3 linked regions of the Daphnia pulex genome follow. The protein of the gene in region 1 purifies or fractionates together with the protein of each later gene. This does not show direct contact. Links are inferred from orthologs where the notes say so. Each region holds a gene or a part of one and is shown on either strand. Other genes may lie near its edges.

Region 1 (3,215 bases):
GAGAAGAGCTTCTCAACTCCATCCGAAGCTTTGCCAACGGAGGTTCCCTAAAGAAGGTAATAGTATTTTTGTTTTATTAAATGTAATTTGATTAACATACATTTTTTTAAATTCTATAGACTGGAACTAGCTTGGAGAAGTAGGAACATGTGTAAACAAGTCAATGCTGTCTGTGTCAAAATTCCTTGCTATATAAAAAAACGCCGTTAAAGTTTCTATTCACATTCCAGGTTAATCATTTAAAAAATGTGTTGCAGTTTTGAGACATTCGTTTCACAGTTAGTTTTTTCCTTCTTTTTTTTTCTTCGAGATAATAATTATATCAATAAAAACTGTTATGCATTCCAAACCTGTTATGCTTATTCATTGTTTACTCCGTAATGCGCAAATCCTTTAAGATGAACGAAAGTTGTTAACGGAAGTTATAAATTAATTTGTCTATAAAAAGAAGCCTGGTTCATTTTCACATTCAATTTCAATGCCCTAAATGTAAACCCCACGAAGAATGGGCAAATAAATACACTTGTCATACAACCATTTCGAGAATAAATTGCGTTATATATTTTTCTCTTTCATCACTTTAATAGAATCGATGTAGTTTTAAGGACGAGATACGGTCAAATTAACTTAGGCAGCTTTGGAATTTCTCATTAATGTTTCGGAATAGAAGCGACTACAACGATGGCAACAAACAACAACAGGATTACCATCCAATATCCTGAAGTGAAAACAAAGAAATTATTGCATCTGTCTGAAGCACCTTATCTAACAAGATCTGTGTTTACCAAAAGTACGATCCTTCCGATCAACTACAGTTATTGTTGAAGTTTGCTGTGCCATTCGATCCCGAGTGCGATCAACGTTGTCTGCGATGTTTTCAATCAAATCTAAACCAAGAAAATACAATTTTTATTATTATTTTATGATAATTAATCAAAAGAATTTACCATTTTGTGATTCAACTTCATCACCAATTGTCTGGGCAATTTGCCTTTGCCTGCCAATAATTCTCGAAAGCTCATCCAGCCCTCTGTCTTGATCTAGAAAATACATTTTTATTAAGACACATATGAATAACACATTTAAATCCACTAACCTGCCATAATTTGGACTTGGATTTGTTTGAGTTCACGATGAGGGATATGTTCACTAGTCATTGCAGATGATGATGGATTTGAAGAGGTTGTTGTTCCTGATGACAATTTACTAAGGGATTGGCTCTTATCCAACACGCTATAGTAAACAGAAAACTGTAAATGAAAATATTTCTATTCATAGTATGAAAAACTACAAACCTGCTATTGACAGAATTCAGAAGCTGCTTATGTTTGCTTAAAAGATCTTCAAGGAGAAGGCCCCGCCGTTCTTTCTCTCTTGCAGTCCTGAGTGAAAAGTTTTAGAAATGAGCTAACTTCATTAATGTTAGGTGGAAGTCAATACAATACAATTGTTTATTTTGTGAGAGCCGTTCAAGATGTCCTTTAAGACTTTGGATTTCACTGTAAAGTTGACTCAAGCTATTCCTCAACTGAAAAGAAAGTCTTGCATGTGCTTGAGAATTCTTTGGTAGGTGATCCCTTTCATTAAAAATCCCCAGTAATGAAAAATGTAATTTTTCAGCAGATGAGAACTCCTTTTCCCTGGTTTGATGGATACAATTAAGAATTAATGTGATAACATCTACAGATGCAGCAACAAAAATTTGTCTTTCGTATTATTTGGTAAGAGCTTGGGCCAGAACCACAAGGTAAAATATTGACATTATCTAAAAGATTAGTTTTGTTTACTTACCAGGCATTAGCGTCGTTTCCCAAATCGACGAGCGCCATTCTTTCATAGACGTCTGCTCGAGACAGCTGTCAAATGCGATGGTGTCGCTTTGTATATATATATACAGACTTGGGAAAGGGCAGGGAAAAACGAAAGAGAAAGAGAATGGCCGGCGCCGGCCAGACATCACATCAGAATTCTTGTTGTGTCATTGTGACATTGTGTGTTATTCTTTCCCGTACCGTACGGTCGGTGCTTTAGTGTATTTATTCCTCGTGATGTTTAGTGAAAAGATTTATGAGTAGATATACACGAGGTCTATCAATTTCTGATTTCCAGTCTCCTGCGGCAGCCGGCAAGCCTGGTAAGTTATTATTGGTTTCACTTGAATTTAACCACTAGATTAGATTACACCTACACTACAAGGCCAAGTAGATACTAATTGTGGTTTAACTGGTATTATCAGGATCGACATTTTTTCCTAATAAATTGGCCCACAGCTCGTAGTGTAACATTTAGTAGGAACGTAATGAGCAAAGAGTGAGAGTGGTTTGTTACAGCCACTTGGCCTTGTCCCACGTCTCTAAGTTATCCTCAAGTTCACGTTATAAGCTAGCACGGACGATTACGACGATGAATCCCATGTTTGGAAATCCGACGACTTCAATTAAAACCTACAAGAAATTCATCGGCAATGTGTCTATTCTTCTGAAGTAACTCTTCCGTCATTGGCATTTTTGGCAATGCTATCTTATTCATTCAAAATTGTAATTTCAATTACTTTTATAGATGGAAACGAAGTGTTTACAAATTGTTATGGAAGCACATGGTGATCTACGCAATAGTATACATATGGCTGAGCATTCTCTACGAATTCATCCTCGACGAATATGGAAAAATGTTAAGTATTGGTCAATACATTCCAACAGTCTTATAATGGTAAACGTTCCACGCGCTGACTGAATATCGTTTTCTATTTTTGTAAATTGTTTGTAGGAATTTCAGGGTCCTTGCCGAACATTGTTCCCGATATAGCGGTAGTATTAACCTTATGGTATTGCTTGGCTTCTTTACATCAACAGCCATGCAACGATTATACTCGATGCAAACACCCGAAACAGACCAATCAATTACCGTATTCATATTTTCACTGAAACCAGATCTACCTGAAGTAAGTCCAACTGAGAGTCATTTATCATTATAATGCAATAATTTTAATCGCTATTTTATTAAAGGGGCCTGTGATTATCGATCAATTTGTACGATGGCAATTGCTTGCTTTGATATTTTCATTTTGTCTGGTGTCTCATCCTATACGAAAAATCTATCCAAATCTTTCGTCCTTACAAACTGCAGGTAGTCTAATGATTAGACCCTTCTTTTTTAGATTACCTTGTTATTTCTTTACAATTAACATATTTATATATATTTCAATCTAGGATTAC
Region 2 (3,112 bases), on another chromosome or scaffold:
ACACCCAAAGGAATTGGGTTTGGACATGCAAGTGTGTGTGTGTGTGTATGTACAGTTCTCTATAACTCTGCTATACATACTATATATGGTCCACGGGACACAATTCCAATTGTGGAGGGGTCTGAGCATCCCCAATGCATGCTTCATGCCTTCCTTCATTCTTATGTTCTTGTTCGTTTTGTTCTTCCACCAAATAAAAACAAACCAACCCAAAGAGATAAAACTACGTCGCGAAAATTACCCTGGTTGTTTTTTTATTTATTTAACTTGAATTCCTCCACCACACACACACACTCCCCTCTCCGCTCTTGCTCTCTCGTTCTTTGCTCATCCACTGGATACGATGTTGTTTCCTTGTTTGAGTTCTTTTTTATATTCAACGTAAAAACTGTGTCGTTCCCCCTGTTTTTATTTTTTAGTTCCCTGTACATACATATGAAAAAAAAAAACTTCCGTACGTGATGATAAAATCAGATTCACTCCGTGTTTTTTTTTTTGTTGAAAAGTTAGGAGAATATAGAACGAATCGGGGAAAAAAAATTTAAGTTTCGTTGAATGATCAGCAGTTCGAGGGAAAATAAAAGAGCTGTGACCGGGTTGGATATGGCGGGGGATGGAATCCAATGAGAGAGAGTGACACGATGTATAAATATATGTGGAATACCATCGGTTCTGTATTCATCAATTGATATATAAACCGTGTAAAAGGTGAAATACAATGGGAAAATGATCAGCCGTTCATCAAAGTGTTTGATACTTTTTTTTTTCATTTTTCTGTGACAGACATTATCAATCTCACTCGATTCCACAAGACAATGTTAAGTGGATTTATAGTAATCAAATATATATTTCAAATTGTCATCCATTCATCTGACTATAGTGTGCAAACCCCACCTTTCAATATTTGAATTTGCGGATTTTGATGGACTCAACTTGTACGCCTAGTAATACCGGTCGACAGGCTTTTTTTTTTAAAATAATCAAAAACAAATTATTATAGCTGTTTTAGAATAGCTCAGTTACAACATATTTCAATACTTGGGGATATCTTGAAAATCTTCTTGCTGATCAATGGTATTTGACTGATAGCCACACTATATTGATTTGGAAAAATGGTTTAGATAAAAGTTGCTATGTTTAAAAATGCAGCACATGATACCTATCATAATTAGCACAACTAGACCGCAGAGTGATCCTAGAATGAGACGAGTTCTCATCTCTTTCCACCACATTGTTTTACGGAGCCTGCATGGTGAGTAAAGATTTTGTTAAATATTGTAGACTAGTTGTTAAAAATAAAAGATTACCTTGAGGAAGCAGTGTGAAATTCATCGGAAGCACTTCTTAAATTTTCTGATCTCTCATTCAGCTCATCCAGCTGGTCACCTCTGGCAAACAGCTTATGCACATTCTCCTTCATAACGTTAGTGACCTCTTCCACCTGGGATTTTACCCTGTCAAAAGAAAAACAATTAGATCAACATGTAATTTGAATTCTCAAGATGTAAGCTTACTCTTTCAGCTTGTTGTTTGAAAATTGTCCTCCATCTTTTTTACTGGAAAAATTCAAATTTGAAATGAAACAAACTAATTTGAAATATTAGAAATAGCTTACTTGAGCACGAAATCTTCATCACTATCATCAGACACATTATCTAGTAGCTGCTCCTGTAAAGGACAAGGATTCTTAGTGTTAGTATTTAAGTTACTCCCACGTAACAACATATAGTTGTAAAGAATATTAAAGCTGACAAGTGAGTTTTTGGTAAAAACACTTTATGACTTTACTCTTTCAAAATCTGCTCCTTCACTCCTGCTTGGTCTAGTTGGTCTTCCAGACATAGCAGATATTAAAATATTTATGAACTTTCTTGAAAATGTGAAAATAGGATCAAACTAACTAGTAACTTTACAATAACTAAAGGAAAACAAAGCTGTCAATTAATTTCATCAAATATCTTCTGCTAAACGCCATCTATTGTCGACGACTACAACTGTGTACACATTCGTCAGCTGGGCTACAAGTAAAAGCAGCAAAAGAATAGCTGTTTGTGATTAATAAGTACTGTTTCATTTTTTAAAAAGAACACATAGCATTTAGCATAGGATCTTCAATAACTCGCTAATTGCCGTAAAAAGACCATTTTTATAAAAACAATTCGATTTTTAGTATATTCATGTGCGAATAGATGGCAAAAGTCTAAATCAGAGTATTTTTGAAACCTGAAGTTTGAATAATGATCAGAAATCTAACTTTAAACAATTAAACAATAATAATTAAAAAAAAAAAAAACATGTATGGGGTTTTTCACTCTGTAGACCAATACTGGCATCGCCAGATCAATGTTAGCTTCATCTAGAGTTCTGAGCCTACGCTTTTTAGGACTCAAAGAACCGCTGTATTCAGTTAACCATGGATTAAGAATTAACCGATTGGCTTACAAGTGTAACGTTGTAAAGCCATTTGAATACCTAGATGTAGGTCTTAGGATTTGAATGCAATACTTCCATGCTAACTTTCTTGCACCTCGTTAGATTCAATGAAATCAATGAAACCAACGATAATCCATTCCATTGACGAGTTATTACCTCATTAATTGCTATTTTACTTAGTTATTTATCGATCGGTGTGAAACAGCTATGTTCACCAGTAGAGTCGAACTCAGGTGTCAAAGTGCTCTTGCGATCACTAAGCCACGCCTTATCCGACTCACACACCCGACCTCCCATTGTTCATATATTAGTTCAGTTAGCCTATAGAGGTTTTTCCATTTGGTTCGTGTAAGTAGAGGGAAAAGTCGTGCGGCTAGTCGACTAGTGCGCACCATGGCGGTGGATAGCCGAAACTTGCTGCAGACTTTGCTTGATCCAAACGATAGTCACCGTAAGGCCATGTACTGTAACCTGTCAGGCTGTCAGCAGCAAAAGTGAAACCTGTTTTTTTTCTTAAGTGTTTAAAATGACAAAAGGTTTTTGTTTCATATGTTCAACTTATGAAAAAAAAAAGAGATCGCCGAAGTTTTTTCAAAGTGCCAGAATGCAACATTAACAGTAATTCAATTGAGAAAGAACTCATTTCACTTTGAAAAAACTTCGGCGATCTCTTTTTTTT
Region 3 (3,501 bases), on another chromosome or scaffold:
AATTTAACAAATGAAAATTTTTTTTTTAGTCCTAGAAACTGGGTGATAGCTGATTTTGGTTGTGGTGAAGCTCAGATAGCAAACACCATTCCTAATAAAGTTCACTCTTTTGACCTTGTAGCAGCAAATGACAAAGTTACTGCTTGTGACATGGCTTCTGTTCCTTTGGCAACCAAAGCTGTTGATGTGGTATTTCAGCATTATTTATGCATTATAAATTTTGATCAAACAACAGATATTGCTTGTTCAGGTGGTCTTCTGCTTATCTCTCATGGGTTCCAACATACATGACTTTTTAAAGGAAGCTAATAGAGTCCTTAAAATTGGGTAAATGCTACATACAGATTTTAAAAAATAATAATCTTTATTGATGTAATTTTTAAATTACAGTGGTACTTTGTGTGTAGCTGAAGTTGAAAGCAGATGTAGCAATATTAATGATTTCTTGAAAACAATTGAACGTTTTGGATTCCAACTCAAAGAAAATAACGTTCAAAAATACTTTTTTCTCGCAAAGTTTAGCAAGATTCAAAACATGAGTCCCAAAGCAACTATGCCAAGAATATATTTGAAACCTTGTCTGTACAAAAAACGATGAATAGAAAAGTACACATAAATGTTGAACATCATAACAAAGAAACCGACTCATTATATGTTACGAATGTACAGAAACGTATTTGGTTGAAATAGAATGTTTGTTTTAAAAACTGAAAGAAAAATTAGATCACGCGCAGAATTTGTGCATCAACTATTTTGAATGCATGAATGCCAATTCAATCCTCCACATGCTATGCTAACGACAAAATACACAATAACCTACGGAAAAATAGATATTTTCAATTAGATTTCATTTAAAATATTATTCCGAATTTTAGAATGTAGTTCAGGTCGATAAATGGTAAAAAAAAAAAAATTACGAATGAAATAAAGATAGTTATTTAAACTGTAAAACAATTATAACATACCAAAATCACGGCAGCAGTAATTGCTGTTATTTTTATGTTTTTCCAGAACAAGGAATTAGCCAAATTTCGACTTGATTTCCGGAAAGTAACAGCCTAAAAACAATTTAAAATAACTTACTTGGTAAACCAAAGTAAAATTTAAAAATATCTAAAATATACATACTGACGCGCTGAGGCTTTCGGTTTTATTAACCAGTAATTCTAATCTTTCGCCACGTGCCGCTAAGGAATCTAATAATGAGCAAAATTAAATTAAATGGTATTATGTTACTACTGCTGGAGGTTGCAAATTCTTGCTGGCTCGTATTTACACTTTACCTATATTTTTCACCATTACATCTTTCAAGTCGTCCAATTCTCCTTGAACTTGAGAAACGGTATCGATATCTCGAGATTCAGAAAAGTGTTTCTGGTTTTAAAAAAAAAATCTCAGTAATGTCTGAAATAATTGAGAAGAATTTCACGACTTACCATTAGCCCTGCCAAAATTTTCGAAAACTCCGTGTTCATAGCATATGGTAGAGCAGAGTATGCATGGGCTCCAAAAGTATTTACAAATTTCTTTTTAACTTCATTCAAAAATAAAAATGCTCTTGAACGTTCAAATTCCTAAAATAAAGGTTTCTATTTATATATCATCTTCTACAATTGCAGACAATAAAAAAAAGATTTACATCATCTGAGATGCAAAGATAAATTATTCTGTCTTGCAAAATATAGTGGAACAAAAATGATCCATGAGAGTAGGTCATTTTTGAATCATCAAGTCCAATTTGAGCTAGAACTTGCTCTGTGATCTCAGAAAAGTTTCCAGTACAATTATTGGCAAATCTAGCCAAAACAGTGTTTCCTCTACTAACAACACTATATAACAGCGGCATTTTCCTTCTAAAAAATTAACATATGAGATTATGTAATAAAGACTAAATATTTTTTATGGGTCAACTAATCTCATACCAACAAAACTTTCTCGACGATTCAGACGATCTTCAATCCCATCAATAACTTGACGAACGTGTATAAAAAACTGCAGAGAAACTCACGATGGATTACAGAACTTATGAAGGAGCAGATATTATGACACTCAAAAGACGTTGCTATAGTTTTGGATAGTTGTAGGACGAATATAATTAATTTTTGTAAGTATTAAGGATTAAACAACCTATCTTAAATTATCAAATGACAATCCACTCCAGTCAATGACTCAATGTTGACTATTGTCGGAACCACGTTATAGAGTCTATGGTTTGCTCACTCACTAGAGCAGAGCAATAGATACCTGGTCGGTTCTCGGCCGTGTTGGCTTCCCTATCCCGGTTTCAGGGTAAACGTGGTCCGATTTGGAAAAATTGATGAGCGCCTCTAGTGAGTGTGTCAGGTACTACGTGAAGCCAGCCAATCAGGAAGGGTCTATGAAAAACTCATTGACCAATCACAGCTTACTTTTCTACAAGAAGTGAACAAAATAAAAAGGTAGAAGTATCCAACTGTCAAACCTCTAGGTCTTTTCTAAGTGTCCCAACATTCTTACATTTTATTGTTTGGTTGTGTAAATTGTTTATTCTTTGTAAGTGTCCAAACATTCTTACATTTTATTGTTTGGTTGTGTAAATTGTTTATTGTTCCGTTGACATAATACACTACTTCTTGTTTTGAAAATGTACACTTTTCACATTATAATTTTCATTTGGTAGTCGATCCATCGAAATGCAAAAAATCGTTTGTTTAATTTGATCAAAATACCATGTCCAATTCTTTGGTACCATTGATGAAGTTACTAGTGACTGAAATGTCACAAAATTAGACTTGAAATTAGTAGAGCTTGCTTCCATAGAAGGTGATGTAACTGTCGAATCATCAATGACAACAGCAACATTTTCGTTCATTACATCAGGAAGTGGATCAAAAATTGCTTCTTCAGCAGCCTGGTGAGTGTCCATTGATTCTTGAATAGTAGAGGTAGCTTCCATAGAAGGTGATGCAACTGTCGTATCTTCCATGACAACAGCAAGATTTTCCTTGATTGAATCTGGAAGTGGATCAAAAATTGCTTCTTCAGCAGCCTGGGGAATGTTGATTGATTCTTTAATAATTTCCATGGAGGGTGCTATCAGATAAAATTTAAAGCAATTGCTCTTATAAATAAAATGTAACGAGAACTATTATCAATACCTGTACTGTCAAATTTTTTTCTCTTAGACGTAGTAGGTATTTTGTCTACTTTTGGTCGTTTCCTTACTGATGCATTGCTAGCATTTGTTTCCACTACAATACATATTTAAGAATTGCGTTATTTGATATTAAACAAAATAAACATATTTAAAAATACCATTAAGGTTATTTCTCCATTTGAAACCATCAACATTTTGCATTGCTTGTCGACTAGGTGTATCTAAAATGAAAATGGTTCAGTTTCTGTGCTTTACAGATTATACAGGAAATGTAATATCAATACCATTTATCAGAAAATGTTTGGGAATTGCTCCAGCATTACGATTCCTACGTTTGAAAGGATGGAACACGTTCAAAATTTAAA

Evidence for each region.
Region 2: the proteins of syntaxin-8-like (region 1) and vesicle-associated membrane protein 2-like purify together in Homo sapiens (co-immunoprecipitation; 3 studies listed by BioGRID and IntAct, counting the BioPlex papers as one, with this or other methods). This does not show direct contact. The link is inferred for Daphnia pulex from reciprocal best matches to the Homo sapiens genes STX8 and VAMP4.
Region 3: the proteins of syntaxin-8-like (region 1) and vesicle-associated membrane protein 7-like purify together in Homo sapiens (affinity purification with western blotting; 3 studies listed by BioGRID and IntAct, with this or other methods). This does not show direct contact. The link is inferred for Daphnia pulex from reciprocal best matches to the Homo sapiens genes STX8 and VAMP7.

The regions. Positions count from the first base shown.
Region 1 is NC_060022.1:2,056,264-2,059,478, forward strand, and holds syntaxin-8-like, read right to left. Parts: upstream 1,917-3,215; 5' UTR 1,830-1,916; coding exon 1,792-1,829; intron 1,641-1,791; coding exon 1,446-1,640; intron 1,383-1,445; coding exon 1,296-1,382; intron 1,234-1,295; coding exon 1,097-1,233; intron 1,041-1,096; coding exon 948-1,040; intron 888-947; coding exon 786-887; intron 719-785; coding exon 651-718; 3' UTR 538-650; downstream 1-537. Other genes in the region: serine-rich adhesin for platelets-like, read left to right, coding at 1-56, 120-143; bestrophin-4-like, read left to right, coding at 2,068-2,134, 2,387-2,483, 2,560-2,670, 2,767-2,941, 3,006-3,126, 3,210-3,215. UniProt on the Homo sapiens protein: Vesicle trafficking protein that functions in the early secretory pathway, possibly by mediating retrograde transport from cis-Golgi membranes to the ER.
Region 2 is NC_060027.1:3,974,620-3,977,731, reverse strand, and holds vesicle-associated membrane protein 2-like, read right to left. Parts: upstream 1,972-3,112; 5' UTR 1,843-1,971; coding exon 1,789-1,842; intron 1,669-1,788; coding exon 1,616-1,668; intron 1,557-1,615; coding exon 1,515-1,556; intron 1,455-1,514; coding exon 1,308-1,454; intron 1,246-1,307; coding exon 1,160-1,245; intron 1,095-1,159; coding exon 1,069-1,094; 3' UTR 1,039-1,068; exon of another isoform or gene 975-1,038; intron 963-974; 3' UTR 651-962; downstream 1-650. UniProt on the Homo sapiens protein: Involved in the pathway that functions to remove an inhibitor (probably synaptotagmin-4) of calcium-triggered exocytosis during the maturation of secretory granules.
Region 3 is NC_060018.1:6,537,483-6,540,983, reverse strand, and holds vesicle-associated membrane protein 7-like, read right to left. Parts: upstream 2,215-3,501; 5' UTR 2,128-2,214; intron 1,993-2,127; 5' UTR 1,923-1,992; intron 1,854-1,922; 5' UTR 1,847-1,853; coding exon 1,640-1,846; intron 1,575-1,639; coding exon 1,437-1,574; intron 1,375-1,436; coding exon 1,284-1,374; intron 1,197-1,283; coding exon 1,129-1,196; intron 1,059-1,128; coding exon 966-1,058; intron 817-965; coding exon 745-816; 3' UTR 599-744; downstream 1-598. Other genes in the region: ribosomal RNA-processing protein 8-like, read left to right, coding at 30-189, 251-327, 391-598; uncharacterized protein LOC124188813, read right to left, coding at 2,606-3,072, 3,138-3,230, 3,295-3,337. UniProt on the Homo sapiens protein: Involved in the targeting and/or fusion of transport vesicles to their target membrane during transport of proteins from the early endosome to the lysosome. Required for heterotypic fusion of late endosomes with lysosomes and homotypic lysosomal fusion.